Styela clava: one gene and its partners. The main gene of each other region encodes a partner of the protein of the gene in region 2 in a complex. Links are inferred from orthologs where the notes say so. Each region holds a gene or a part of one and is shown on either strand. Other genes may lie near its edges. The genes, in order: splicing factor 3B subunit 6-like, splicing factor 3B subunit 3-like and microfibrillar-associated protein 1-like.

The links.
Region 1: splicing factor 3B subunit 3-like (region 2) and splicing factor 3B subunit 6-like share a complex: the UniProt entries of both Drosophila melanogaster proteins name them as parts of the splicing factor SF3B complex. The link is inferred for Styela clava from reciprocal best matches to the Drosophila melanogaster genes Sf3b3 and Sf3b6.
Region 3: splicing factor 3B subunit 3-like (region 2) and microfibrillar-associated protein 1-like share a complex: the UniProt entries of both Drosophila melanogaster proteins name them as parts of the spliceosome B complex. The link is inferred for Styela clava from reciprocal best matches to the Drosophila melanogaster genes Sf3b3 and Mfap1.

What each region holds. Positions count from the first base shown.
Region 1 is NC_135263.1:10,172,565-10,184,046, reverse strand, and holds splicing factor 3B subunit 6-like, read left to right. Parts: upstream 1-6,840; 5' UTR 6,841-6,954; coding exon 6,955-6,984; intron 6,985-7,961; coding exon 7,962-8,080; intron 8,081-8,311; coding exon 8,312-8,450; intron 8,451-8,893; coding exon 8,894-8,983; 3' UTR 8,984-9,470; downstream 9,471-11,482. Other genes in the region: ubiquitin conjugation factor E4 A-like, read left to right, coding at 1-572; 2-hydroxyacyl-CoA lyase 1-like, read right to left, coding at 1,460-1,688, 1,838-2,007, 2,430-2,538, 2,631-2,785, 2,904-3,017, 3,264-3,384, 3,812-3,880, 3,965-4,213 and 4 more. UniProt on the Drosophila melanogaster protein: Involved in pre-mRNA splicing as a component of the splicing factor SF3B complex. SF3B complex is required for 'A' complex assembly formed by the stable binding of U2 snRNP to the branchpoint sequence (BPS) in pre-mRNA.
Region 2 is NC_135262.1:17,042,844-17,053,544, reverse strand, and holds the start of splicing factor 3B subunit 3-like, read left to right. Parts: upstream 1-6,190; 5' UTR 6,191-6,227; coding exon 6,228-6,330; intron 6,331-8,081; coding exon 8,082-8,281; intron 8,282-8,950; coding exon 8,951-9,044; intron 9,045-9,262; coding exon 9,263-9,483; intron 9,484-10,202; coding exon 10,203-10,409; intron 10,410-10,701. Other genes in the region: proliferating cell nuclear antigen, read left to right, coding at 4,443-5,237. UniProt on the Drosophila melanogaster protein: Involved in pre-mRNA splicing as a component of the splicing factor SF3B complex, a constituent of the spliceosome. SF3B complex is required for 'A' complex assembly formed by the stable binding of U2 snRNP to the branchpoint sequence (BPS) in pre-mRNA.
Region 3 is NC_135261.1:7,092,847-7,103,252, reverse strand, and holds microfibrillar-associated protein 1-like, read left to right. Parts: upstream 1-5,601; 5' UTR 5,602-5,655; coding exon 5,656-7,074; 3' UTR 7,075-7,694; downstream 7,695-10,406. UniProt on the Drosophila melanogaster protein: Required for pre-mRNA splicing.

The DNA of each region.
Region 1 (11,482 bases), on a different chromosome or scaffold from region 2:
CTGCCATGCTTGATGACTTTTTGTTAAAATTAGTTGGGCCGAAAATGGGTGCGCTAAGGGTACGAGATCTTTCCAAATACCAGTTCAAACCAAAAGTACTTGTAGTGGACTTATGCCAAATATATGTCCACCTTTGCGTAAAAGATGATTTTTGCCATGCTATATCAAAAGATGGTAGGTCATATTCTAATAAGTTATTTCCAATGGCCTGTCAAGTTCTTAGACGTATCGGTAATGAAGAGTTACGACAGAAAATGATGGAAATATCTGAACGCGTCAAACTCTTTAGCAGTCAAGAGGAGGAAGAAGAAGAGATGTTTATGGATGCTCCTGATGAATTTTTTGATGCCTTAATGTCAACATTAATGCGTGATCCTGTGACTTTACCAACATCAAAACAGGTTGTAGACAGATCTACTATATCAAGACATCTGATGAGTGATCCCACTGACCCATTTAACAGATCTTCTCTTACAATGCAAGATGTTATCCCAAACACAGAGTTGAAAAATAAAATCACGCTCTGGATTGAAGAGAAGAGGAAGAAAAAACTTGATGAATCTGATAGCTAGTTCCAATACCATATTTTATGGCTACTGCCGCTATGCAATTGTGTTGTGTGTATAATTTTCCTTTATCCATGGTAGGTGGTGACTCAATCATACAGTGAACTGGGTCAAGTATAAGATTGTACAAATTCAATTCGCTGAAATATAGGATTCGCTTATGTATATTTGTACAAATTGCTGTACAATGATGGGAATATACCAAACAATCGACATCGACCGTTTATACCTGAACCATCATCAAATTATGTAAATAATATTTAGAAAGTATACATTCATTCTCATCTTCTTTAAATATAGTCATTCTGAAGTTTCACAGTGTTGTATGTATCATGGTATTCAAGATACCTTTTGGTTCTAGCTCAAATCGCTACTAAATATCAATCACCAGTTTTGAGGCAGGCCTGGTTTCTTCCTTTGTTTTAGAACATTTTTTGGGCCTATATATTGATGCTTGTGTAGAAGATTAGTGAAATATTTAGTCAGGCCTATTAAGGAAAGGCAAGACAGCTGTGAATTATTTACCCTTCAAGAAAACACTGCTCTGGTAAAAAAAAAATTTGGAAAGGCAAACTAGCTCTAGGTATTTAAATGAATCGCGTTTTTGCATGCATGCTATTATCGTAATGTCTATACAACAGCAAAACAACCAAAAACGCCAAATTATACCTTGCAGTCGCACCCGTATCAACGGTTGTTGTTTCAGCCCTACAGGTGGTAATGCCCCCCCTTTACAAAGATAATATCACTTGCAATGATAATAAATAGGATTTAATAGGAAACGCAGATTTAAAATTAATATCAATTGCATAGAAGAGATGATAAACACTTCTGTATATTAAAACAAAAAATTAAATTGGAATTATTCATGACTTGGTTGACAGCCGTTAGGTTCACATTTTACTTCTTGTAAGCCATTGAAATTCTTGCTGCTTTCGCTCAGAAGTCAAATCGATCATAACATTGGTTAGACAGGGCTCCCCATTATCAGCATGTTTGTTGAAAGCATTGTTAAGGGCTTGATCAAAGTTATCGGGTGTTTCTGCATAGTAGCCAATTCCTCCGAAAGCACTCATTATCTGCTCATAACGAGAATTTGGAGTCAAGAACATCGGAAGTGACCTAACCAAAGTAAAAATTAACAATTAAATTATAGATGTTCAAGAAATTCAGTAAAAAATTTATTGAGAGAAAATGTGAATTGATTTTCATCCAAGTCAAGACCAATCTAGCCAGTTCATTTTATTTCATCAAGAAACCAATACACCTACCCAGTTGCAACATCTTCTGTTGTTTTTAGTCCATCCCAGAACATTTTAGGTCCACCACTGTAAATACCGTTGTTGTTGACAACCACAAAAATAATGGGAAGTTTGTATCGTACTACAGTCTCTAATTCCATTCCAGAAAATCCAAAAGCACTGTCACCTTGTACACATACCTAAATAGTAAATATCAATTCAGAGTTCATGACAATTCCCATACAATTCTTGTATGGTTGAAGTTGACACTAATTGTCCCTTTTCATGCATTTGTTGAATACACTATATTGCTTGCTGTTACATTCCAAACACTATCCTATATAGAATACCCCAGAATTAATTCTTCAATTTTAAAATTCATTCAAACATTTCAATGAAAATAATTTTTTCCCTTCATCAATGATTACCAGGCAAAATGCCAAACTACTAGATTCTGGCACTGTGTCGTCAAGAAGTAATGAAATAAAGTAATAAAAATTAATTCAACCTTCACTAAGTCCTAGTCAATTTTATTTTTTTCCGAAATTGAAAAATAAATAAAATTCACCACACATTTTTACTGGGGATGGGAAGCCGCGAGAAACCAAAGAAACTAGCTTACCACTTTTTGAGGTTTTTGTCCTGGTTTTGCAGAATCTTGAGCATATAAAGCAGCTGCAATTGCAAAGCCAACCCCTACTCCCATTGTTCCAAAAGTACCAGCATCAAGCCTATGAGAAATCATATGTTGAATCAATTTTATGGTATTATTACAATACAAGACAATTGCCTTGTACAAAACAGTCTAATAATCATTCCAAACCTATGTCTTGGGTAATAGTTTTTCATCATAGTTCTTCCAATGTCCATAGTATTTGCTCCTTCCCCAATAATGATGCTATCTTTAGGCAAGTACTTGTTCAATATATCATAAACGGCATAGTAGCTGAGCGGTACGGAATGATCCGCACACATCGCCTACAAAGAAAAAGTAAGATATATTACAAAAAACTATCAATCAACATAAACATGAATAACAAACAATTCATTCCATTTACAAAATTTATCTGAATTAAATTACGATTAATTGTTATACCTTAACTTGCTCATCATTTTTCTCAATTTTCTCGTTCAAAGCTTCCCACCACTTAGAATCAGTTGGATGTTTCCACATGATACCTCTGTGAATTCCAACAAAGTGTTGCTGCATCTAAATTTTCAAAAAAAAATAGAAACAGTTAATTTGAATGACAAATGATATTCACGGATATACTAATAATCTCTGATAAAAACGTCACATACTCATCAGCCTTTGCTTGGTGAGATATAAAAAATCACAACTAATGGATAGCAATTCAAATGCTTAAAAATGTGTCTAGAAAGTAAATTCGCCGATGCTATTTGTATTATGCGAACATGAGTTTCAGCATATATGTATATATAAATTTCAACATACCTGTTTAACCACATCTGATATATTGCCATGGATGCCAATACTGCTTGGAACATTATTCCCCAATTCTTCAGCACAGATATCAATCTGAATCACTTTTACATATTCATCAAATCGCGGAGGCCTAAAATATGACAGTACTTATGGATACAAATTTGGTTGATGAACAAAAATTACGGGCAACTGGAAAGTAATGACAGTTGAACAATTTGGGCACATCAGGGAGCATTTGTGCAAAAACCGTATTATTCTATTAATTTCTATATATTTTGAAACAGGATTGTTACTCAGTAGTGTGACAAAATGAAATCAAATTATTATTTTGTGATGTATGTCTAGAGAAGCATATGTAAGCAATATCTGTATTATTAAATTGTGCTTTTAGGCGTTTTTTTGTAAAAATTGTACGCAGATAGACAGGTTATATATAACTCACTGCCGGAAAGTCTAGTTTCACTACTGCAATAAATAAATTTTCTGCAGCTGTTGTTAGTGCTTTGGTTGCGCTACCAAAAAACGTTGGTCAATTTTGAAAAATAAACAATAGTTACCTTCCAAAATGAAGTTGCCAGTTCAATCTTGCACCAATCAACAGTATACAGTCTGCCATCTGAAGAGCCCTGGAAATATTCCAATATTTTCATTTTGTATAATTTCGTTTGCTATCATTCCATTGAAAAATCAAATAATTGGAGGTAACTTACCTAGACCTCGCAGCAGATACACATAATGGATGGTCATCACGTATCACACCCTTTCCCATAGGTGTAGGCAAAAAGGGCAACGAATGCTTCTCCACAAATTCCAGCACTTCTTTTTCAGATCTGGAGTAGGCTGCCCCCTTGCCTATGATAACCAATGGTCTTTTAGCAATCATCAATGTCTGACATGCTTTCTTCATAACATTCAAATCAGCTTTCAAGCCTGATGGATTTGGGCACATTGGAAACTGTCTGAATATAATAAATAAGCATAAATATCAGTATTTAATGAATGTTGCTAAATCTCCAAGTTGCGAGCAGTAAGTCATCAGTCTCAAATCAAGCTGATACTTACTGCCCTCCCGATTCACAAATCATGTTGGGTCACTGCTGTTTCGAGTTGAAATAGATTTCATAAAAACAATGATATAGATAAATATGCCCCTCATTGGCATGGAGATATGAAATAAATGTCATTGTGAAAATCAAACTAGAATTCATTAATCTATTGACAATATTTGTCTCGGTATCAATGCAGCCATATTTTGACATATTGCAGAAACAAGCTAGTCAATTTTTCAATATTTTAGGAAGGCATCTATGAATGTGTGAAATTATCTTCAATGCAATTTTTTGCTACTTCGGTGACTTGGTTGGAGTATTTCCAAAACTGATAACTTGAAAATTCTCCAATACAGAAGGCATGGTCCATAAAATAATTTACTTGAAAATATTCATTTCAGGTTACTACACACTGATGTATAACAATCAGAAATTTGGTGAAGCTTACCTACAATCACCCCTTCTCACTGAAGCATTTACAAAATTGCCAGGAATATCAATATAACAAGCACCAGGTCTTCCATATATAGATGTTCTAACAGCTTTCTCAACAACCAATGGTATTGCTTCAAGACTAGATGGTCTAGCAGAAAATTTGGTATACATCCGACTTGCTTCTACCTGGAGATGATAAATTGGGGTAAATATATACTGTATATAACTGAATAGGCCTAATCATTCTGAAGTCCCAAATCCGTATTATAAGGAAACAAAATCCATAGACAAATACAAGTATAGCTATAAATTTAGACTTATAAAAATGGTGACATAACCTTGTTATGATAACCCCTAATATACCTGGGCAAATTCTTGAAATGCCCCCATCTGTTCCTGATCTTGATCAGATGAACCTCCAACAGTAATCATGGGCCAGCAGTTTTCTTGAGCGTTTGCCATTCCACCTAAAGCGTGTATCAGACCAGGCCCTGACACAACCAGACATACACCTGTGAATTACAGAAAATCATTAATATCAGTGCGCATAAAAAATTCAAATAATTCTTCACCACTCTCTCTCCGCTGAGCTTGAGTTAAAATTATGGTTAATAGCTAATTTTTCTAGAATTCTTAAATAGAGAGTGGGAGTGGTGACTCCTCTGCGGCCCATGGGCCGGGGCCACGGCCCATCAAGTTGTGTAAAGAAACTATTCACTTGGCTAACACAGACAGTCCCCGAACTCATAATAGAACTATAATGTAAAAAATCTGAATTTTTTTTGTCCTAACCCTAACCTGGTACACATACTACAGGAGTATATTTTTTTGGTTCGAATATCGACAATTTGGTAAAAATTGAAAATTTTGTTAAGATAATTGAATTTTTCCTGATGGGGCCGCGGCCCATCAAGCTATGGGCCACGGCCCATGTGGCCCAATTAGATGGGCCGTGGCCCCGGCCCATGGGCCGTAGAGGAGTCACCACTCCTGTAGTAAATAGAAGCATATTTTCCATGCTTCAGCAACTTTTATTTGAACTGAAAATGTTGAACATTTCCAGTAAAAATATGATATTTCTATGCCTTATCTTAAAAGTACCATCCACACAATAAATATTCCACCTTTTCAAAGCAAAATTATTATCTGTTTAGATGCATTCAATTGTGAAATAATAAGCAGTACAAGGATCTGAAAGTACTCAAATGGATAAGGAATAAAATAAATTTGGTTCTCAAAAATTTTGAAAAACTGGATCAAACATGCCACAGAAAACTGATAAACAATTTGAACAATCAGATCAAAAGGGAACCTGGCCGTCCAGTCAAATATCCAATAGCACCAGCAGCATATGCAGCAGCTTGTTCATTTCTCATTCCAATGTATTGAATGCCGACTGCCTGTGCTGCAATTGCAACCTCTATGACAGGAATTCCAACCACTCCAAACATGTATTTGATTCCCTGCGAAAAAATCATGAAAATATCACAGTAAATATGTTGGACATACCGCTAGAATTGTTAACATATTGCTGTATTGTTATTTCTGTAGAATGCAACACATTCTGACATTGGCATAAATAACCCACATATACATACTTGTGCTTTCAGACTTTCCGCCAAGGTTTGGGCCCCTGTGATATCATCGTCCATGATCTAAATTTTCTTTCAAATCCAAAATAGATTGCAGAACACCGAATTATTGATTGCAGGACGCCTTGTTACTGGAACCCTACTCAGTACTACAGAGAAAACTATATCAAGCGCAGTAGCTAGCGAGAATATGAGCAAGCAAATAAATTGATGTTAAGCGCAAACAAAGCCTGTTGAGCATTGGGCAACAGATTAGAAATGGCATCTTACCAACTGTGTTTAAAGGAAAAATTAGATTCAAATCGACGCATTTATAAAAACAAGCTGCCCATTAGAATATCGATATCCACGGAAGGCAATTATGATCAAAATGACCACAACATAATGGTAAAACTTATGACACTTTTTAACAGCATTGGGCATCCGCGAATCGTTCTTGTTACGTTTCCCCAGCGTTATTGCGTCATATTATAGCACTATTGAAATAGATTGTTTTAAATGGGAACATTCCTATTTTACGCGTAGGATCTTTCTATACATAAATACTATTTGACGATTTCTTGTCTGTTGTTCGGCTTCACAGAGGTGTTTTCGCTGGTTTATTCCAAATATCTGAATTTCAAGATGGCTATGCAAGCGGCAAGGCGAGCTAATGTAAGTTTTTAAATTGTAAATGATTTTGCTTTAGTTTTTATATGATAGTTTTCGTAAGACGTCGCGAATTATAATGAAATACATACCGGTACCAGTACGGTACCGTGTCCGTACCTACAGACCTAACTTACCATTCAGCTGTGGGGTCTGTAATAAATGACTGGAATAAGCTCCACTGCAACTTCATCAATCACTCCAGATTTTAAAGTTTTGTAATTCTAGTTTTGTTGAATGTTGAAGTAAGTGCCATGTCATCAAAAAGAATTTAAATTACTGAATTATGACAGAATTATCACATCAGAATTAAGTTAAGGTACCGTAGCCTATATCAATTAACTGTAATAATTCTCATGAATAAATTCAATTGTAAAATTAGTAAATAATAATTTATCGACCCTCGGACACTAGCCTACTAAATTTGTGATTTTGAAAGTCTGCCATCGTTACCAAACTGCCAAAGCAGTTTTATATCTTAATCTATTGCACTTTCACACTGACATGAAATTGCATAGCTGTGTATGCCTGCCTATTACTATAAATACGGGTACCGTACCTAAAATATTTTTTTTTACCCTAGAACTTTTTCGAGTGCTTCATCAAACACAAATGGATATTTAAACCAATTTTAATAATATTTATCGAATGTGCTGTTAACTCTGTTTTAATTTTAACATCGACCTTCTGTATTCCTTCTTACCTCCACAAGAATATCTTCTTTTTTCTGTTGATTCTATAATTTATAGCGGCTAATAACATTCATGTCTATAATTTTCAGTTTTACAAGACCCACACCTAAGGTAGAAAATAAATATCAGCACGTTGTTGTCAACAATTTCAAATTTTATTCATTTTTATGAATACTTTGTGTAAATGACTGTTTTCAAAATTATAATATATTAATTTGAAATTTTTTTAATTTTTGATTAACAAAAACTCCATTTCATGACAATTGTTATATAATATTTTTTATATTTCAGGTGAGACTTCCACCAGAAGTTAACAGAATTTTATATGTCAGGAATTTACCATACAAAATCACAGCTGAAGAAATGTATGATATATTCGGAAAGTACGGTGCAATCAGACAAATACGAATGTAAGATATCATTTTTATTGAAAATATACATTTATTGAGATAAAAAGAATCTAAATATTTGGCCAAGGATGGTTATGTCCGATGTAGTGTGGAACACTAAGCTTTACTTAAGGTAATTGTTGTTCATTTCAAGGAATTGATCTCAGCCCATTACGTCACAATTAAAAACTTCTCTTTTCTATTCCCTTCAACATTCAATGTACTGACTATTTATTTTATTGTTCATTACAGGGGAACTACAGCTGAGTCAAAGGGAACTGCATATATTGTATATGAAGATATATTTGATGCAAAGAATGCCTGTGATCATTTATCTGGTTTCAATGTTTGCAACAGATATCTTGTAGTTTTATATTACAATCCAAACAGGGTACGTGTTCCACGTTTGGCTTCCAGAAATCGAGCATGAATCCATATTATTCTTTATAATATAATTTTTAATTTAATATGGTTTGGTTTTATTTAACCAATGATGACATTGGTTGAAGAACTGACTTTATCTTTATTTTTACATTCACGTAAGATTGTCGCAAGGGAACTAATATCTGAATCATTTATGATTGTGTCACCTTTCAGATATCTCATTTATTCTAATCTGCTACTTATTATATTAGCCTTTAAACTATTAGTCATTAACTCATTCCACTTTAAATATTATATTGCATATTTAATATATAGATAAAATCACCCAACATTTGCATTAGAACAGTGAACAAATTTATTTAGTTCAATTATATTGGGATCATGTATATTATTATATTGCAATGTTTTCCAATTATAAAAGTGACATTTGGTTCAATTACACACTTTCAGACATTCAAGAAACAAGATGCTAAAAAGAAGCAAGAAAATTTGGAAAAGATGAAAGCTAAATTTGGTGTAAGCACAGACGACAAAAAGTGAATCCAAGATGGCTTTCCTTTTGTTTTTAATTTTTTACCGGAGAGGCAGTGTGTTTATTGGATGACAAAGTATTGGCAGTTGGATCTGTGACTAGAAACTGAAATTTATCCACTTTGGTATATACTGCAAAATTGTCTAGAATTTCACCATCAAACAACTCGTCATTGTTTTTGTGTAGACATTTTCAATCATGGAACAGGCATACAATTCGCTCACTTTTCGTGAAAATAGCGCAAATCAAGGTTAAACGCTATGTCACAAAAAAAATTTTTGAAGTTTGTCAGATCTAATTCTAGAATTAATCCAAAGTTATTTTCGCGCTTGCAACCCCCACTCTTTGAAAACTTATAAATTTGCCAATTTTGTCTTCTCAATATTTGCTTATGGCACTTTTCATACTTTCTCAATATTGTTACAAAAATGTGGGTACCCTACAGCTTCCATTTCAATGGAGCGCTTTTTGTAAATACATTGTTTATATCATCTACATTTACTTCAAATGTTTGTATATAGTTGTAGTAATGTATCAGAATGTGCCTACCAGGTTACTTTATGGGTGCTTATTTAGCTGCTGAGAGAACTGTTTATGAAGGTTATTGACAGGTAACCTTTGCATATTACAGTTTTTGACCGCTCACCTATTCACGGAAGTTGGATTTATCGTTTTAGTAGATGAAATTGGGAACTCGCCACCAATAAAATTACCGCAGCTCGTGTTACAGGCTAATTGAACTGCTATTACGTCGAGGTACTAAATGGGCTTCTAAATAAAGGTTTGGATGCAGTGACGTAGCTACCCATTGGATCTTGTAGATAAATCCACGGGCGGCACGCTGCTGGAGGGCGCAAAATGTGGCAAAACGAACAAAGACGGTCACATTATTTATTCTCAGAAATGCTCACAAACGATCTAACTTAATACTGATTAAAAGGAAGCTAAAAAAATTACACAAGTTATGCCCCTGAACCTGGGGTTCCCAAACCGCGGGTTAATTACGGCACTTGTAACGATTAAAAATGGCCCGCCGACTTTTAGTGCAATAGTTTAACGGTGAAACGTAAATGAATACTAATACAGTACGTTTAATACTTCAAGTGTTTAGCTTCTTGCGCTCTAGTTACTGCCAATTGTTACCTTATTATCACGGGTTGAGCATGTGAGCAAGTTATAGCATGTACCCTAAATTAAGAAAGATTAAAGATGTTCAAAAACACGAAACTAGACACTTCGTCAATAGTGTTTTTCCACGTATTTTAGCTCCATAGATCGTCGCCATTTGATCTATCATGGGGACATCCTCATTAAGGGGTTAGGGATACCTATTACAGTATAGGGGACTGTTGACCCTATCTGCGCGTTCTTACCCCCCTGTTATTAAACACACGTTAGCGGAGTAAAACCCCAACTGACTCCTTCAGAGGTCAATAAGCACACAATAGATTGAATGCTAAATGTTCGTATATTTAGATGCACAATCCAAATAACAGATAACGAAATACACTTAAAACCTTAACCCCAATATATATGATGAAACCAAATTTCTAACTAACAATGCGCACGATAAACACGAGCAGCACTGAGCGAAGGAAAATATATCATAAAGGGAATGAATTAGAGCAACGATCTTGTTTCAGGCAAATAACATGCACTATTAACAATATGTGGTGAAGAATACTAGAATACACAGGCGCGGCGGTGTGGCTCAACGGGCTAAGCGTAAGGGACACGCTCGCCACCGCACCTCTAATTACTCTGCGTGGGTTCGCAGGTCCGAATCCCATGCAGGGATGGTTATGTGTGAGAGGATCGCTGGACTCCTCGCCGTCGTTGGGGGTTAACGTAACCGCTGGTCGGTTACGGCTTACTCCACCACCAAGTCCATGCTTCCGAAGACAAACAATAAAACTAATCCCATACCCGACATGGCATCCCCGGGATAGATATGTAAATCTTTTTTCTTATCCTTATCCTAACTATCCTACTATTCTTATGTAGCCTGCCCGCTACAACAGCATCACTGAAGTCGCACTAGCAGGAAAAACGAAATATGATTGTTCAATCCTATTGGTGAAAATTGTTAGAAATCAGTGATGGTTTTCCAAATATTTTAGCCGTCGAGTTCGTCGTCATTTGATCTATCACGGGACACCCCCAATATAACATTCAGTGGCGGCACGTCAATAGGGCCAACCGGGGCAATGCCCCGGGTGTTTTTTCGGTATAATAAAAAAATATTCGAAAAATACCTCAATATCGGTTGCACAGACTGTCTACACTAGCCATATTCTCCCGACATGGTTCATTTTTCGCTCGCAAAGCCTTCGCCGAACGTCGACGGGGCGACGCCGATTTTGCCCCCGTTGCTCATTGTATATCGTATTCTCTCTTTTATCTTCCACTCGCCGCGTTTGTCTCGTTTGTTTTCTGTTTCTTTTACTAAATCATCGGGGCCGATCGGGGCTAGCCCCGAAATTATGACGACACAATGCCGACGTTTC
Region 2 (10,701 bases):
AAGAAAGGGGGCCTCAAAGTTTCGCCGAGCTTGGGAAGCATTTTAAGATGGATTAATTTTGGTGACCTCAGGCTTGTGAAAGCCTTGCTTTTTGTATTCGGATATAGGTACTTGTGTGAACAATTTCTTGCGATCAACTACAACCTATGAAGTACAACCTAAATATTAAAGCCCTGGCGGAGGAAAAGCGAGGTTAGAGATCCTACTGAAATAAAATTATATTGTGAACATTTTTGTGTTTATGTATTACAAATAACTTCAATGATTTGCCGTGATATTTGAATAGGTACACTGAAACAAATAACTTGTGTGCAAACCATCAAACAAATAGTGAAAACCAAGCCATTTTACATTTACATTTTATCAATCTGTACTGTCCTCAGGTCTGTTTATATAACGAAATTTTTCATCGGCACGCAAACGTCTATTTTGACATTGAATATTACAAATTGTCACACTCGTAAAAAACGTTGCCGACCTCTGCAGTAGCGCAACTAAATACCGATTACAAAATGCTGACAATTGAGTTCCATATGTGACATCAGAAATATCTGAATGCGACTCAATCCGTGTTGTGCAACAAAGCATTCATGTGCCATATCTCTGAAAAATTCGATTTTGTGGATGCGTAATATCTGAATACCCCCAGGTGGGGAGCTACTGGGATAATGTAACGTGGATTTATATTTGAAGTAAATTTATATTTGTTCTATAATACTCCAACAAAATTGCCGGAGTTCCTGTTTAGACAGCATTTACCGAAATACGTGACAAGAATGAATCAAGAGGATGTGGAAGATTGCCTGGTAGTAACCTATTTGTAATAGATGATGACTCGTATTGAGCTCATTCACACAAAAATTTCTCGATGTGGAAGGCCCATGAAGTTAACTTATGCAATGATATTTTGTGATCAACTGTATCAAATGCTTTCTGTAATTCTATAAAGACACAGCAGATATATATTTTGTTTATCATCTAATGGTTTGTGGAATGTTATTTGACACGAGACAGGTCTATCTAAAACTTTTTACCAAAAGATGAACAAATAAAAGTACAGGATATACAGGCATTTAAAATTGTAATTGTCATGAAACAAAAATTCGCTTTCAAATTCTGGCGCATTTAAAAGTAGACTCGGCAGAGCATGTTCGTTCGCAACGCTCAACCAAAAAGATACAATGGCGTTTCGATTGAAATCAATCATTAAAGATCGATCAGACTCTTTACATATCGTTGCAGGCTCTATATGCAGCAGTCATCACGAATCCCAGTTTGGCAAACCCTGGGCTAGGAAATAGAATTACTGCTTCAGCGGCCATATATTACGAAACGGCGGCCCTTTCAGGTAAGAACATTTCCATGCTACAAACAATGTTTGCATTCTTTACACTGATCGATGTAGTTCATAAACTTAGCACGGAGGTAGTATAGGCCCATAGGATATAACATTGGCATATCATTGTGTGAGATGGACTTGGACAATAGATGAACTTACACAATATCTGATTTGCGCTTCCGATAAGATGAATATTTTAAGCCATAATCAACACCTAACTGCAAAAAATGATAACGCTCCGAAGATATTGTTTGTTACTCGCACCTGATAACGAAAAAAGGCTGTAAATCAAATACAAGCTTATCAGTCGCCGGATCACTATTGAGCTGATAAGGACTTTTTTCTAGCATGATGACATATAAATAGGGCAATCTAATACTTAGGTACATTGCAGAATTTGACAAGCTTATAAGAAAGAAAAATAAAAAACAATGCCATCTAGAAATCAAAATGCAAGATCTACAATTTCAGCAAGCCATGCGCACCCAATTCAGCCACAGTTTACCAGCGTTATTAGCATGTTAATTCACGAATGGGATGAACAAAGAAGGCGAAGATTTGAAGCCGATGAAAGAAAAATTAAAGCAAAGACATCGAAAAGGGAAAATAAGAGCCTGAAAATACTCAAACCACTTGCGAAGAAAATAAAATCAACAAGAATTACAAAACAGAAGTATTTGATAAGGGGAAATGGAAAATATATCTCACCCAAAAGGCGCAAACGTTCAACAGGTTCGAAAATAACGAAGAAACCACATACTTGTCTTTCTCACAAGCGAGAATGATTTTAGTGTATGCGATTTGAGGATATAAACTCTCATTAATTTATTTCAGTCTCAATTGTGGTTCTGTATTCTGATATTTAATGCGAAATAAAAACTTGAATGAGTTATGTGAAGTCACATAATGCAGGAATAAAAAAATAAGGTTGTATAATGGCTTTTCCAATGTTCATATGATATTTTGTTTAGTTTGGCTTTCTCTAGACCGCCAGAAGGAAAAGTGAAGAACGATAGGATTTTCATATTGATTCCGTGAGAGGAATCCGATTATACGGATTTATCAAAATGACAAACCACTACATTTTGCTTACGCATCATTTTAGGATGGATATGACCAAGCAGATAATTGTTCCACATGTATTGAGTTTTATGAGAAAAGCAGCCCCAACCGACGACGTGAAGAGCATTCATTTTGCTCGTTACTTGCCTTTGGGCCCGCGGACATTTGAATATTTTTTCTGTGTATATATGTTGTCGCTTACGCCGTTTTAATCTAGTCGTTTTACGTACGATAGACTTCTAGTTACTTGATTTATTATTATGTAAAAAAGTGATTAGAGTTAGAATCAACAGTGGGATTTAAATTTTATGTCAGCTGGTTCCATTACAAAAGTCATATTTTTCAGCCGGTTCTGTTACAAAAAGTCATAATTTTTTTAGCAAATAAATTCAATTTTCAGACAAACAATCACAAATGGAAAATTTCTACAATTATCAAATGTAACCCAACGTATAACTGTTACGTGCGAAATGTTACGAGACCATTTTACATTTCGAAAAAAAAACACGTGAGTTACTTGATCTCAAATATCGGTGTGTCAGATAAGATGCAAAAATCCATTGACAGTATCCAGTAGTGCTAACCGGTTTGCTTATCTCATAAAATTCCGTGAAACGGTTCTATAGAACCGGTGCAAACCGGCTAAATCCCACCACATGCTTTGAACTGGGCTAGTTCTACTTCCCCCATCCCGATTCCAAATTAGATTGTATCGAAATCCTCTATGGAATTATACGGAGGCAATTTGCGCTTTAATCTAATATAACGTTATGTAATGCCAATTCATTTCAGTCTAAATAAAGTTGATTTTTGAATATTCAAATTCAGTAAATAAACATGGAAGATGTCGAACGTTCTTTTTCAGGTCTTGGTATATACAGGCTACAAGGAAAATCAAGAACTGCTCAAATAATACAGCATTCATGCGCACTTTTAATAATATATATTACAAAAAATAAATATATATAAATAGTTAAATACTCTTTATGTTTCTGCCTATTATGTACTTTTCTAAATTTTCATTAGCCTCGAAAACCCGGGAAATTTTTTTGACTCAGTCGATAGTGAGAAATCTCTTCCACACTTTTTAAAAATGATTAATCTAAAAAGAGGAAAACGGTAATAATAAGTAAATGGATACAGGTTTTCATATATTGTATATTTGAAAATCTCGCAATTCTCTACTTTGTAATTTCGTTTTTGATAAATGAAAATATAATACATCTCCCTAAACAGGCCATAGTGTTGTTTTTCGAAATGAAATTGAAATAAGACACAGTCTTATTAGGTCTTATTAAGTCCATGCTTCCGAAAACGACAGCTATGCTCAAATATATGGACACTTCACAAGGTGTCGCTGTTTTTTATTCTGACACATAAAAAACGAATATCTTGAAGTCCACAGAAATTTTTAAATTAAGTAAAAGAATAGACTTCTGGCGAAAAATCATTAACCACTGAAAATTTCAAAGCAATTGGTCCAGTATTCGAAGAGAAAAGCGATTTTATCATGACGAAGGAGAAGAAAAACAAGATCAACAACATAATATTAAAACCAAAGCCTATATGTATATATAATACCTGATTGAAACGATCGTTATGTACAATGACGTGTCCAATAACTAACTAATCCCATACCAGACACGGAATGATAACCAGACGAGAGGCCGTGGTTCGTCATATGGTTAAGCCGTATTATAGGCTCCGCTCTCCCCCGGGATAAATACTTCTTCCTTTTTTATTCTTATTTTTGGGAAAACATGGCATTAACCAGTACAGTATTGTTCTTTTTTGCATTTATCTTTTTTCATGTCTACTTGTAAAAAATGGTGGCGCTGTTTCGTAAGAACAATTTATTGTGTTATCCATGCGTAACTTCGCCATGCTGTTCCCGCCAGAACGTTTTTTTTTCTTCCCGCTTTTTATTTCGTCTAGATTTTTTATTGTTGAGGTTTTCTTTAGTTGACAGCTAGCTGCCGATCTTCTCGCGTCGATATAGCCTCCTAACCGTTTATTTTGTTCTTTATCACCAACATTCAAAATGTTTGAAGCGCGTCTTATCCAAGGTAGTAATCTCAAGAAAGTACAAGAAGCATTGAAAGACATTGTTACAGAAGCATCATGGGATTGCACATCATCTGGAATAAGTTTACAAGCAATGGATAGTTCCCACGTCTCACTAGTGCAACTAACTTTAAGAGCAGATGGATTTGAAAACTTCAGATGCGATAGAAATCTGGCCATGGGCATCAACATGACAAGCATGGCAAAAATTATGAAATGCGCTGGAAATGACGATATTATTACCCTAAGAGCAGAAGATAATGCTGATATGTTGGAATTGATTTTCGAATCATCGAAAGGTGATAAATATTCTCAATACGAAATGAAGTTGATGGACCTTGATTGTGAACAACTCGGAATCCCTGAGCAAGATTATAGCTGTTGCGTGACACTTCCCTCCCAAGAATTCGGAAGAATCTGCCGAGATTTAAGCCAAATTGGAGAATGCGTTGTCATCACTTGTACTAAAGATGGAGTGCAATTTTCTGCAAAAGGAGACTTAGGAGCTGGAAAAATTAAACTTAAGCAAAATACTGGCTCTGATATCAAAGAAGAAGAGCAAGTGACCGTCGAAATATCAGAGCCTGTTCAGCTGACTTTCGCGATAAAATATTTGAACTTATTTGCGAAGGCATCTCCTCTCTCACCATCTGTATGTTTATCAATGTCAAACAATGTTCCACTCGTTGTTGAATACAAAGTAGCAGACATGGGTCACATCAAATATTTTCTTGCTCCGAAAATTGAAGATGAGGAAGAACAAGACAGTTGAAGAAACTTCTAGTTTTCACATACATTTTGTTCATAAAAGGAAAAACAATAGACTACTACAGTACTAGTTGGCTTATGGTCAATAAATTATACACACTGCCATAAGGATATAAATATCAGTTATGATTACTGCTCCATTGACTTTCCCATTCACCAACATCCAATTGATTACTGGATTAGATAAAATTCCATATTATGGCGATTGCTTTGTTAATATGAAAACATCATTTTCTTGATTTCTCTTGTCAATTTATCTGAACTGGCCTCATTTGACCTGCCTTCCCTCTCAACTTAACCGAAGTTACTCCAAGGTCAGCTCCATTTATGGAAGTACTCACCTCCAAAGCTATAGCTTCATCCTTCCTTTTGGTAATTATCGACACGCTGACTAATTTGTTTCTTTCATCTTGGGTTCTCAGCAGTGCAAGCTGATTGATTTGTTTTGCATTATCGAATGAAACCTCAAAAAACATCTTTGCTTTATCATGTTGGATGAATATTGCTATTGATAAAATATTAGTGGATTGAACAATTTACACTTTGGCCTTAAATATATAATATTGTTGTTTTTTCAAACTGTCTTGTATTTTGCTGTAGAGCTCTTTCTCTTAAATTAATTATTTCCAAGATTCGAATTGAATATTTGAAATTTATGTAGTGCTATTTAACTTTGTAGTGAACTTCCTATGAAAAGAAGGGTTTCGATTTATTTAATCTTGTATTATAACTCCGAATTAATTGAATTCTGTCAAATAAAAATGACAACTTTTCAACTGTCCTATCTGTATAATTATTGGTGTAAATTTTTCAATACTAACATCATGGTTTCTCTTAATAATCAACACTGCCTCTCAGTTTCTAACTTGTGTTTCATGTGTTCGTTAATACATATTTTAGAATTTCATATTGAATAAAAAATATAAAACATTGAACAACGCGAGGGTTGTGTTCGGAGCTGTTCATCTGATTATTTGGACACATTCATAACAAAATGTTTCTCTATGCTCTCACACTTCAACGAGCTAGCACAATAACGCATGCTGTCCATGGGAATTTTTCTGGCACGAAGCAGCAGGAGATTGCCCTGTCTAGAGGTAGGGCTTAGTTATAATAACTTGTGTTTTATAATGAACGTAGATGGTAACTGGTGAATTAAGAGTCTCAACGACTCTAAATCAGTGGTTCTCAACTTTTTTTCTTTCGTGGCTCATTATCAGTAGGGCACGGTTCCAATATGATGTGACATTTGGTCCAATGAAACAAAAACTATTGCGCCATGCTTGTCTCTATGATAATTTAAACCGATCGTGACTACGTCGGCTGTCATGTGACCAAAATCACGTTTTTTTGCTGATTTTTTTTCCCTTTGTGGTACTTTTTTTTAAATTGCGCTCGGAGGACCTGACTGACACGTAAGGGAGGGGTTTGCACTTACTGTTTTAATTGATTTCTATTAATGTGGTGGCTATACTTGGTATCGGAGAACCGTACTGATTTTAATTGCACAAAAAGTCTGTAGCTCATTAACTTTTTCATGCATAGGAAAAAATATAAAGGACAAACAAAAAATTCTTTCGGGAAGAACAGACACTTTCACTCTAATAATCAGAATGAAAATCACCACTCGGTAGCATCATCATTCATTGCCACTACAGTAAAATTTACCTATAGTTTTCGATAGGTTTATGGCCCACCTGAAAATTATTCTGTTGCCTAGCAGTGAGCCATGGCCCACTGGTCGAGAACCGGTGTTCTAAATGGTAAAAATATCTATGGACTGACTTAACAAATCATGCATTAGGAGAGAGATTGATTGTTAATTCATCATATTTCTATAAAGCTAACTGTGTAGAAACCTAAACTATTGATCAAATCCCAACCTTTTCCTTTCTTAAAACTTTGTGCAGTTTAAATAGCTCTTGCAAAACCAAGAATTGATAAAATATGATACCTAAGTAATTCTAATATATTGCTAAAACTTTTATGAGCTTGGCAAATAACAGATACAAACTACTATGCAGAGTTATATCAATAGTGTGTTAAGATTAAAACTTCCTAGTTGATATTTTAAAATACTTCATTACTAAATAATGATAACACCTCTAACATTCTGCCCATTCAATTAAAGGATTAAGAAAATAAAATATAACATAAGTTTTTCACCAAAAAAACAATATCACAATGATCAATGTTTGTAGGAAAGATTTAAAATCTGCTTGCAATCTCGCAATGAAAAAGGCTTGTCAATTTAGGCTGTTAGGTACTCCCTAAAAAAATTTCATCTTTGTTAGCCTTGAATATATTAATAGAAGGAACAGCTAAAAATTCTAAATATATTTTTTTTTACAACGCTTGCATTTGTGCCTCTTAGCTATGAACAAGGCCCTATGGTAGCAACCACTGATGTTTGGAATTAGGTAAACTTGATGGAATTTTTCCTGTTCTTGATGGTTATATACTTCAATGCTAACACGTCTCATGTTTCATCTGCTATTCCATCACGCCCCCGTTTCTGTTATCAGATAATGTCGTATTATAATCAGAAATTGCTAGTTTATTTACTGTAATAAGATGATGAAAACTGATTTGCCTAAATTGATACACTATTTGAGGTGGGTCTCACAGTTCATCCTGTGTCATAGAAGAAAATTTCAAGCATTCCAATTTCATTAGCAAACAGAGAATTATGTATGCTTATTAATAAATCTGAATCGTAGAAATGATTACATAGTTATCACATTTTGTAAACTTTAAATAAATTATCAAATAGATAGACATAAATTTTTCTGATGTTAAGATGTGAATTTTTGTATATTTTGCTAATATTCTACGTTTATAATTCCAGGAAAGATTTTGGAACTTGTCAAACCTGATCCAAATACTGGAAAAGTTCATACGTTGTTGACGGTCGAAGTTTTTGGCATTATTCGTGCTTTGATGTCATTTCGATTAACTGGTGGTAACAAGGATTATGTCGTCTGTGGAACAGATTCAGGAAGAATTTGTATTCTGGAGTATATTCCTAACAAAAACAAATTTGACAGAGTAAGTGGGGAAATATATTAATTCTTTTTTGCCACACCCCTGAGAATTAGGGATTTAGTGTCATGAATTCATAATATCTATTTATATATGTCTAGCTGGCTGATTGTTATAGTCTATAGATCAGCAACCAGTGAACTGCGGCTCTTTGTTCTCGGAGCTCTGGTTCCCGTGAATTAGAGTGGCTACGGCAGATTTTGTTAGAATCAGTGGGGATTGAATGAAAGTTGGAGTCATAAAGTTACTACAAACTAATTACACATCATAGCAGCTATAAATCGAGAGTGGTAAAAATAGGTCGCATTAAGGTGATTCAAATCTGTCAGAACTAACTTTTTCTTTTTAGGTTCTTTTCATTTCAACGTAAACTGAATTATTGCATAATTCGTAAATTATTTGGCTTCTTCCTAGTAAGAACTAGAATATCGCATCATAAGTGGTTTTCCGAGAGTTTTAATAGCCACTAACATTAGAGTAGAAGTTGGTTTGAGTTTGACGGCAAGGATGCCAAAAGCTCTTCTAATTCCAAAGGTTGCTGACCCTAAAATGAACTAATTTTTGCTTCATGCGTGATATTACGCATTTATATTTTTAGATTTTCTTAAAATTAATCTGGCATGCATTTGCTCTATATATCCTAGTAAAAATACTGTTTTGCACTCTTCTGCACAGGTTCATATGGAAACATTTGGAAAGAGTGGATGCAGAAGAATAGTACCAGGACAATATCTTGCCATTGATCCAAAGGGAAGAGCAGTTATGATAGGTACCAGTATATTAATTTATTTGATTTAAATTTTCTTATGACAATGTTATTGACACTGATTTCGTGTTCATAAAACCAATATGATAATTTTATCATTAATACAACATACTATCTAGTTGCCCAATGCAACTATGCAAGCACTATTTTTATGTAGCTAACAGTACATGACATTTACAAATGAGTATATGTGAATATTATCGAAATCCTATTTTTATTAGGTTCTATGGAGAAACAAAAACTGGTGTATATCCTGAATCGGGATTCCGAGGCTCGTTTGACTATTTCTTCTCCTCTGGAAGCACATAAAGCTAACACACTCGTGTATCACATGGCTGGTATTGATGTAGGATTTGAAAACCCAATGTTTGCATGTTTGGAAATGGATTATGAAGAAGCTGATAATGATCCCACAGGAGAAGCAGCACAACTTTCCCAGCAGGTGTGTGTTTATTTTTTTATTTCAAAAAATTTTGTCAATGAACGAATGTTTGTGAAACTGGCATTTTTCAATAAAGGTACAGAAAACAGAACCTGTATAACAATTAAATAACAAAAATAAAATTAATTAATAATACTTTTTAAACTCTTTAGCTTTGAACAAGGCTCAAGTCCAGTAGCTATTCAATTAAGCCCACCTGGTATGATAATTGGTTGATAGATAACTAGACCAATTGTATCTAGAATATGAAATCTGTAAACTTGTATAAACCTAAACAAAATAAATATAATTTAGGAATTCCAGAGGTTTTACTGTAGCATTTTCTGTTGTTAATTAATGTATCTAGTTCAGCGTTTCTTAATAAACAAATTTTGCCTTGGAACACCGGATCGCCAAGAACTTGAAAGTAAAACTGATGGGTGGTTTCCGAAAAATGTAGTCTATGATAAAATTTATAAGTTTGCTGCAAACTTGACAAATAAAAAATTAGGCTGGCGGTTAAACATATGGAACGGTCAACAGAAACGCCTTGCTTTCCAGACTGGCACGAGGCCTGTCCGCATGTTTGTTGCCAGTTGGGAGACAAATATACGACCCAGAGTTGCCGAAGTACAGCCAAGATCGCCATGGCGACTAATTTAGTCGCAATTGTGATTCCTGTTCCAAGGGACACTCAGAAGAACAGTTATTCCAAATATTATTTATTTTATTTTTTTCAGACCTTAACATTCTATGAACTTGATCTTGGACTCAACCACGTTGTAAGAAAATACAGCGAACCTTTAGACGAACGTGCAAATCATTTGGTCACTGTACCAGGTGGTAACGATGGACCTGGTGGCGTTCTTGTATGTGCTGAAAATTACATTACTTACAAAAATTTCGGTGATCAACCTGATATCAAATCTCCCATTCCAAGAAGAAGAGTAAGTTTGAAATGCATTTCAACTAATATCGGGTAGATAGTGGCTCGAATATTGTTACTAATAGGGGACTTGAAACAAACAGAACCCTTGTCATTTGGAACACATTCCAGAGCAGTGGTTCTCAAACGGTGGGGGACAATTTTTTGAGGGGCCGTGAAGCTAATTAAAAATAAAAATATTTATTAGATATGATCTTGCCAGCCTTATTTTGGATATTTACATTTCCAAACTTTCATCTATTTCAGGGGTCGGGAACCCATGGCTCGCGAGCCATATATGGCTCTTTTGGTGA
Region 3 (10,406 bases), on a different chromosome or scaffold from region 2:
AAATTTCATTTAAAGAGGGGGTCATACAAAACTGTGCTGCGATACAATTCCATAACACAAAGTTTGCACCTATCGAACTTGCTTTTGTAGGTGAATTTATTAGACATATTCCATATTCAGTTAATCGTAGGTAACATTGCTGGTACATAATGCATCGTAGATAGGTTTGTTTAAATTTAGGAATTTAGCTCATAGCCCACTAATTAATATTATCTTCTATGCAGGAGGTTGCAGGGCTGAATTCAACTTGCAGCCTTACCGATCACCTGACGATGCTCATTTAGTTTGGCTCGAGCAAGTCTTCTTGAAATGCTTGTGTGGATGGAAACTACCTATATTTTTTGCCTTCCTCCGATTTTAGACAAATTTATTCTGAGGGATTTCGCATATAATTCTCACTGATTGTTGGCTGTTTATAATTCCTATTGATTGTGAATTCTGATTATAACAATGAGTTGAAAATTTTTTTACCTAATTTACTGGCACCTTTTTCTTGTCAATACTCCAAGCTGAGGTAATAAACATGACAATACATTTATGTCATCTGGAAGCAAAATATGCACACTAATTAATAGTTTGGCACATTGAGATAATACATCATGACAGAAAATACAAGTTAAAGATATGTATGACCATCACATGGTAATTAAAATTAAAAAAAATTAATAGGGGCTGTGGAGTATGGAAAGTTCAAGACAAAGAAAAGAACAAATGTTCATAGCTCATGAACTCTCAATTTTGCCTCCATTGCTTTGATAAGGCCAGTATATTTCGAGTGGCTGAATTGGTTTACCTTTATGATAGCAAAGATTTTGTATTTAATATAGCGAGATTATTTCAATTTAATTGAAGTGATATAATTTCCCAAAGCAATGCTTGAATCGTCTAGAATAGATCAGTGGTGTCAAACTCATGGGTTTTCGAGAGCCGCATTGCATTTTGAAAATTGTAAAAAGAGCCGCAAACAGTTTTTGATAATGTATACTTAAAAGATATTTTTAAGATAGTTTTAGTTTGTTTCATATATTGTGATGCAACTAAACAGTTGGATTAAGTTTTATTATTTTCTTCAATTTCAAATGCAATTACATATTAATATTTGCATTCCACTATTATTGCAACATTTGCAAGTTACAGTATTTATTATAAAAAATCGTAAAATTCTATGTACAACCATCAAAATCATTTTTGAACAAGCTTTGAATAAGGAAAGAATAATACATACACTAAAAATAACTTAATCTAAATATATGAACCTAAAATTAACAAAAATACTACAGTATAAACTCAATGTTTTAATAATTACATTTGTCCTGGCGTTTGGCATCTTTTTTGTGTCACCAGCATACTAAGGCCAGTCTGAAATGATTTTATAGTACCAACTCTAACTAACGAGGCCACATGATCATGGGTTTATCTGGATCTTTACGAATGTTTAATTAATTCCAGTAATGCAAAAAAGTTACTTTTATCATTTCATGTATAGATCAGTAAAAAAACAAATGACAGATTTTTTCGACAAGACATTTCGCACTACATTGCGTGGCATAGGATTGCTTGAATTATTATTGATATTGATTTTTAGTAACTAAGTCGTTGTATAATTATATTAATATACAAACACATGGAAATTTTCTGTTCGAAGTTGGTCTTCGAATTTGTCATATTGACTGCTGAGCTTATTGTGTTTTTTGATTGTATTGATGGAAATATGACAAATTAAACAATGTGCTTCAGAATTTTGTGAAGAGCAGAAATGTTACAACTCCCATTTTCTTCGAAAATGCCACCTTCTTCATGTACTTTGCGTTTAATTTAATTACTCAAGTGTTTTATTCAAGTATTCTTTTGCTAGCTTGATGTGTATTCTTAATTGGGTCAAAATGTGGACGAAAAAAAATCAATATTCCAAAACTACTTTCAGTAAATTGTTTTCTGGGTGAATAATCAATTTCACTTTAGAAGGTTTGAAAAATCTATTACATTTAGATAAAAATGAAAAAAATTTTTTTTTATATGACTATTACAATTATTGTTAAACGTTCGAGGGCCGCACTGGAAGTTCTCTGGGGCCGCGAGTTTGAGATCCCTGGTCTAGATTGAAGTTGTTCAAAAAATATATGATAGTATTTTATCATGAATGATGATTATACCCCTTCCGGAATTTCTTCTATAGTACTACCAAAAGTTGATGAACCAAATATAACACAGGTGCAGTGAGGTACCCGTAATCCTCATTTCCAAAGCTGTTTTAATTATGTCTGGCGTGTTTTGTGCCTTTTTACAAATAAGACCGCTTATGCAATCTTACGCTTTGGAATTTTTAGTTATTTTCCTCAAGCCCTGCAGAATGTGGGGGCCATACACAACTCTACCGGAGGGTCAAATGTTATTGCATGCCTCCATAGGTTGTTTTTCTATTGCAATTTTCTATTTTCAAATGCATTATATTTCTTGGAATCACACTGTCACTGATATGTCGCCAGACTTCTGATATCTCCCCGTCTGCTATAGTTGTCCTGTGAATAAATAATAGGAAATTGAGATTAGACGAATAGTTGAAAGTTTTGCTTTATGTCGGCTTAATTTCTTGATTGATATACTTACTATTTCTGCTATTGCCTCTTGTGCTGCAAGAGTCTCACAATGCTTAGACAGGTTTGTCCACAACTTTCACATCTGAAGAAAGAGAGGAGATTTATTAATTTTCGTTAAGAATAAATAAAGCAGTCTATATGATTCAGAATGGAAAAGCTAATAAATCCAATATCTCATGTTTTATTTAAAAAATATTTTACTGAATTTGGTATATAAACCAACTAATAAAAGGGTTTAGTCATAAAATTACAAGCATTCGTGGCTCCAAATACTTGAGAAATCAGACTATACAATATAGACCGGTATGAGTGAAATGTTAGGTGAACTTGTTAACACTTTGATTCAATACGCAAATAAAAGTGAATGCGTAATAGTATGTTACAATGAGCAGCAATCAACAATGAGTATATATCCTCACTGATTAAAAAAATCTAACTGGAGGTGCATGAACTATTTGAAACCATAAGGGGTAAGTAAATATGTAATTTCGGCAAATGGGCAACTACGTACCGTACTGAATTAATAACTTCGTAGTATTTGACAAAGGCTGGCTTTCCCACATGTACTTAACAGTGCGATGCCCGGGTGTGATATACAACAATAGTATTCACCTTACCTTTAACCGATTTCTTTTTACCCCAACTTTCAAAAATATCATTAAAATCGACAACAACTGTCAAAGCAGGCACGAACACCATTCGTGCTACGCCTTGAAAGCAGCACACATCCGCTCGTTTTCGTCTCGTCAAGTATGTGCATTGGAGCGTGCTATCGAATACGATCTTCGGACAAAAATGCCGGAGTTGCGCATCATGTTGTTTAATGTCATTGGTTGAAGTGAGCGACTGTTGATTATAGCAGATTGCCTCGAGATATTGTATGCATTTTATTTTCCAATTTATTTACACTGTATTTGACTTTTTCTTCTTTATAATATAGTGTCCAGAGTTATTTTATAGGTGCCGCTGCTCGATAACCACCACTGATTTCCCGCGTCCTTTTCATCCTGTAACATGGCCTATTTATAATTCATTGCCATTTGCATGTTTGCGCCTATTTAAACTATGGTTATATATAAACTACTTATTAGTGTTTATAGTGTTCGCAATCAGGCTATTTCTAGACAATATATACAACACGTATCAGCATTTCAGACCTTTACTTACCCGATTAATCAGGGAATACCCTACGAGTTATCCGATGGGATGGGATTTTCAAACCTGTACCGGTACATTTTATTCTTAAAACATAACTTCCGAGTTTCCAAATTAAATTAGATGACGAATCTTGGGTGTCGCTGCTCGATAACCAAATTTGGTTCCCCGCGGCTTCCCTTCCCCAGTAAAAATGTGTGTTAAATTTTGTTTATCTTTTGATTTTGTATGTTATTTTTTTTGCTGGTTGGAAAAAATAAAATTGACTATGACTTGACTATTGACTATGAGTTTACTTTCTAACTGATCTTGTGTAGCGCTGCTGGTCACGAGACTGATTTTTGATTACCGAGCATGAAAATCCTAATTTTATAATCAGTTTTTCGTTTTGTGTTTTTATCAAATATTATATCGTTTGGTATGGTGATTTTGGAGTCGACATAAACTTATACCTCTATCCGTGAAAAACCTTTCTGATTAGTCAATGTTACGGAAGTCAGCGAAGAATTTTCAAAGGTTTGGGCAGAGCCACTCAAACGTCGCAACGCAATCCGCAAGTTGTCGTTGTTGTTTTTATCGCGATATTCGTCAAACTCATACAGTCATAAAAGATGTTACCGTATAGTACCGGTACCTTGCCTCTACCTATTATATGGCAGCATGGCCATGGTATTCAGAAAGATTTATGAAATGCATCGTTAGTAATTTGGAATTCCAATATTGAAGTATACGCACCGGTACCGTATTTATAAATTTTGTAATGCTATAGATTTAAGACTTCTGTCTAAATTCTGAAATTAGTAAAACCTGGAAGTCAGCAGTCTTCATTCTGTTATTTCTGTATTTACGCAGCGACCGCAGGGTACCAGTACGGTACCTAGTGTGCTTCACTGTCTGGAGGAGTTGGAAATTTTCTACCTGGCTTGTGCTTGCAGTAATGACAAGTAAATTATTAGATTGGGTTACTGTTTTCGCTAGCTGGCTGGTGACTTTTCCTATAATTTGCGCACAGGATGGTCAAATTGTTGTACCGAAATATACAGATAGGCTATATGATCATAATCTACTACTGGAACGGTACCGGTATGTTTCTGAAAGTTGGTCGCCTCGAAGACCATGTTTAGAACTTTTCTATGAAAATACAAGTTCAAGCTGTCGCTAATTTTGGTATGCATGCTGACATGGCCATCCTATTCGTATCACTCCGTTTTGTTATTATAAGACTTTTAGTCAAAAGAGCATTGCAGAGTTGTATCACTTTTATTCAGCTTTATTCAGGTATTGGAATGTCTGAATGTTGTTCACTCCATCGTTGCAGTATGATTATTGATGTCAAAAACATTCAATTTTACTGTTTTTCACATCGCCTTTCTTGTATTACTGTATAACTATTATATTATTACCAAGGTTTCTCAAGCTGGGGCTTCAAGCAAAAACCTTCAAAGTATTTGAGATGAATATATTAATTTAAACTGAAGTACATTTGACTGTAATTTGGTAATTCTTTTGCTGTAATCCATTTATTCTTTTGGTTTTTGGCATTTTTTACTATTACATGGCATATAAAATGATGGAAATCCGTTAAAATTAAAACTAGGTGTTCTCATGGTTCATCAGTGGGCCACAAGTGTTCAGAGCATTTGGAAGGGCGGGGTGGGGGGAGGGGCATATTGCGAAACACTGTCCTCAACCAAAATCATTATATTCTGCAAACTGCTATTCTTAAAAATCTTTTACAATTGGCAGTAATCGCAAATTTCATTCAATCTAAATTCTTGGGGTTTACCCAGTTTGCTAGCAATTTGAAGCGATTTTGTATAATAAGAATTATAATATTAGTAAACTAATTATTAAATTCCTTCTCTAGAGGTTCTTCATTATAACTTTAGGAAATACTTACAAGATGTTTACTCTCGGTCAAGAGAGGTTTTTGGAGGAATCCTCCAAGCCTCAGCCAATCATGTTCACGGCTGGTGCGGTTTCAATTAGAAATGAAAAAGGTGAAATTTCAATGAAAAAAGTAAAAGTCAAGCGATATGTTGCCGGTAAAAAACCTGAATGGGCTCCAGAATTAGATCTTGATAGAGATTCTGACGACGAGGGAGGAAAATTTGAAAATAAAAATTATGATCGAGATGATGTGGATACTAATTATGAAATGAGAGATCAAGGAGAACAATCTCACTCTCAAAAATCTGTTGTCGATAGAAGATTACAAAGACTCATGGATAGAAGTCCGACAGAACAAGAACGAGGCGATAGGTTGAGACATCGGCGCAATTTCGAACCGGAAGTTATCAGTGAAGGGGAAGATTCGGAACCAGAAGAAAGTAAACCATATTCAAAAAAAGTTACAGTTGTTGAAGAGGAAAGCAGTGACGATGAGGATTTAGATGATGATGAAATAGAAAATAGAAGAATGTTGCTTCGACAAAGAGTACAAGCAAAACGACAGACTGAAGAAGAACTTTTCGATCAAGTGCAACAGACATCAGAAGTACATATCAAAGAAGAAGAAATGGATCGAGCGAAAAGCAGTGACGATGATGAAGAATTTACTTCGGAATCCGAATATTCAGATTCCGAGGATGAAGGACCAAGATTAAAACCTGTTTTCGTTAGAAAGAAAGATCGAATAACCATTCAAGAACGTGAAGAAGAAGAAAAACTGAAAAATTCTGAAGAACAAGCTCGTAAAGTCATGGAAGAAAGAAGAAAATATACTTTGCAACTCGTCGAAAAAGAAGCTCGTATGGAGGTCGACGAAGAAAATAAACTCCTAGCAAGTGTTAAAATGGTCGATTCTGACGATGGAAACGATGAGGACGAATATGAAGCATGGAAACTGCGGGAGTTAAAACGAATCAAACGTGACAGAGATGAAAGAGAAGCTGAACAGAAAGCAAAGGAAGAAGCTGAACGATTGAGAAACATGACGGAAGAAGAACGTAAAGCTGAACTTCGTAACAATCCAAAGGTCGTTACCAATCAACTACAAAAAGGAAAATACAAATTTTTACAAAAATATTATCATCGTGGTGCCTTTTATCTTGATGAAGAAGATGATACACTAAAACGTGATATTACGAATCCAACCCTTGAAGATCATTTCGATAAATCTGTTTTACCTAAAGTCATGCAAGTTAAAAACTTTGGCCGATCTGGTAGAACCAAATACACACATTTACTTGATCAGGACACTACAGTGTACGACTCCCCCTGGAATCAAGATAACGCTTTGTCAGGCAAATTTATGTCTAATAAAGGTGGCGGAATGAAACAAAATTTCGAACGGCCTTCTGGAAAACAAAGGAAAACATAATATTTTACCTATGTTGTATTTGGTTTTAATTTGAACATCCTTGGTTGGTTGTAGGACCAAGATGGGGAGCGTAAGATTACCAAGTGGCAAACTTACGGTATAAGGTTCAAATAATTTGTTGTACTGTGCAAACGGGCTCTCATTTTTTTTTCACTTTATGGCTCCATTTCTCAAAAATGTTAGAATTCAAGAGCTTTCACTATGGAATAGAATATTTATTTTGAGTTTTATTGAAAATTTTTATCAATTTGTAAGGAAAGTCAAGGAATGAATTATACAAAATCCATTATCTGTAACCGTTGTAAAAAGATATCTCCATTACTATATATTAAGACAAAATTGTTATTCATTTTCAATGGCCATCTCTGGTATGTAGTAAACATATAGCTTTTTATCGTGGAAATATCAACCCTTTTTTGATACTGATTGACTGACTACCCGTTCATGAAGTACTTTATATAATAGCGGTTTCTGTGCACCTCAAAAATAAAGTGAAAATGTGGTATTTGGATATTTGCATTTGCAAAAAATACCCTAATAATTTGCAGATATGTAAAGCTTTACTGAATTGGAGGGTATGCCGACAGTTTACAAACTGATCGAATAAAAGCACTTTTGTATGTACGTTTCTTTATTTGTTCTAATATAAATTCCCAGGTAACGAAATAAACGCATTGTAACATGGAGTGGGGTTGCATGCACAAAGACTAACTGACCTAAAACACCAGTGCGGTGGGAAAATACCAGTGGATAAGAAAATACTGCTGGAGGTTTATTACAATTTGGGGCATGCATTGACATCCTGCGCCGAACTCGTTGGATAGGATTTACATATTTATCCCAGGGAGAGGAAAGCCGATAGGACGGCTTAACCATATGTCGAACCACGGCCTCTCGTCCTATTACCATTCCACGTCGGGTATGGGATTAGTTAGTTATTTGTTTTCGGAACCATGGACTTGATGGTGGAGGAAGCCGGAACTGACCAGAGCTTACGTGAACCGCGGCGGCGAGGAGTTCAGCAATCTTCTCGCACATAACCATCCCAGCATGTGATTCGAACCTGCGAACCCACGCAGAGTAATCGGGGGTGCGGTGGCGAGCGTATTCCTAACGCTTAGTACGATGAGCCATATCGTTGCGCAAGGGATCACAAAAAATAATCTCATCCATGCGGAGGCGATTTTGTTTCTTAGTCTGACTTTGTCCATCTCAGGAGGCACCGAACTACGGTCCGCGGGCCAGATCCGTCCCTTCGCTTTTTTTCATCTGGCCCGCAGTAACACGAGGAAAAGGCGAAATTATTTCCCAATGTATGTTTCCCGAGCATCAACTTCCTTGTTTATTTCGTAACATTGACCAATCAGCATGGTGCAAAAGTGACATAACAATAGGCGTTTTCGCATCCACTCGGACAGATAGATTTTCATTCGTGGTTGTAAACAATAGCGGAAGGTGGGGCACAGTGGAAAATCAGCTCTTACACTGATACTATATCAGCAATCCTGTCAGAGGTTCGATGTTTCAATCCGCCCTTCGGTGAATTACAACGTCCCCGCGAACGGACAACGGACGGGTAGAGAGGCGCAAGCTATGAGGTGAAAATGGTTTTGGGAGGTTGAAACTAATAATTCACCGTTTCATTTTATTCTTTTTTCTACTTTAGCTTTTCCAACATGACAAACCACCGTCTGATATTTTTCAGCTTTAGTCCACTGTAAAATATTCATAACGTTAGCGAGTGGATGTGCCTTCCGAATTTCGCCGTGGGATGGTCTGAAAATATTTGTTTCGTATTGGCATTTTGATAGTAAGATGTGTGTCGCAAGAGAATTTCTTAGTCGCTGAATAAAAACTACATTTCCCCCTCTCTGCATTAGTCCCGCCAACTTAAGTGAACATGCAGAATTAACGGCTCAAAATATACAAAAGAAAAAAAGTGTCCCAACTTTCCCCTACCTCTTTTTCGCGATTTTGAATGCTATTCGTTAGTTTTTGGTTGTGTTTCGGACATTTTAGTATGAATCAAATAAGTCAATCATCATTTTGCCTTGTTAGGATTTGTAGTTTAATTGCATTAATCAAAAATCAGTACATCGAACATGGCTGACTGATGCAGATTTGTGCATAGTCAGAAACCAAACATTCAAGAAATTTTAAAAGCTGAACTCCAATTTCACAAGTCACATTAACTTTTGGGTACTCCTGAAGTATGCGCACCAAGATGTCGCACAACATGAACCCTAGCCTGGTACACAACCTGAGTTCAGGTTGGCGCTATCTTGGTGCGCATATTTCAGGATGTCCCACTTTTGTACTGCTTACATGCGGATATTCATGACAGCAATTGTTTTGCTAACAACTAACCTCAGGATAATTGTTTATAAATTTTGTATATTTGTACCGATTTTCCAACTTGTAGGCAGGTAAAAATATACCTAAATATCTTGAAACGTTGATAAGATAAAAATTGTGGGAGATTTTTAACATCTTTATTATATCTAACAGACGATATAACTCAAACTTCGACTTGCAATGTTTTATACAACTTCTATTCAAAAATATGTGCAAATAAAGTCATACCAATATGTACAAAAAAACAAATAAATTCTCAGGTAGGCCGGGTAACTTCTACAAAGCAAAATGTATTTCGAGATGCCCCGCAGCTTTTATGATACTGATGCATCACTTTCTTCCTTCATTAAGTCTCCATCAAGTATTTAAAATTCGGGTGGTATCAAGTACCATTCAGCCATGCTTTAGCGATCAGCTAAAATATTTGAGCGCAATGGTCTAAATATTATTTTCCACTGGACCGTACAGAGGTACATTTGTTTGATGATCAAGATGAAGTGCAAAACGAGTATGGTGACACAGAATCAGCTCGATATAAGACAGTAAAAAAAGATATTTACAAAACTGATAACAATGTATCACATGCGTAGCCCTGAAAGTCTGGAAAAACGTTTAATACCTCTTATAGCCAAAAGCGTAGTCAATAATTAGATTGAGGTGTCGAAAGATATACACGACTATGATCTGATATGACTTATAGGCAGGGATGTCATCGATATGAACCCAAAAAAAGGACATCAGGAAAACATAATAATAAAATAACAAAGAACTAAATGTAAAGTGCGACCCGTGTCTAATCACACTTTGCTCCAGAAAGGACCAGCAGTTCTTTATTCTTAGAAACTATATGTTCCATCTCTCTTCTAAGTTCACTTCACTTACGTCATGAATGCGCGTAGCAATAAACGAAGTTCTAATAATATTTCGAGCAAATCAATCGTTCGAATTGACCAATCTAAGTGCCTGGTAAAAGAACC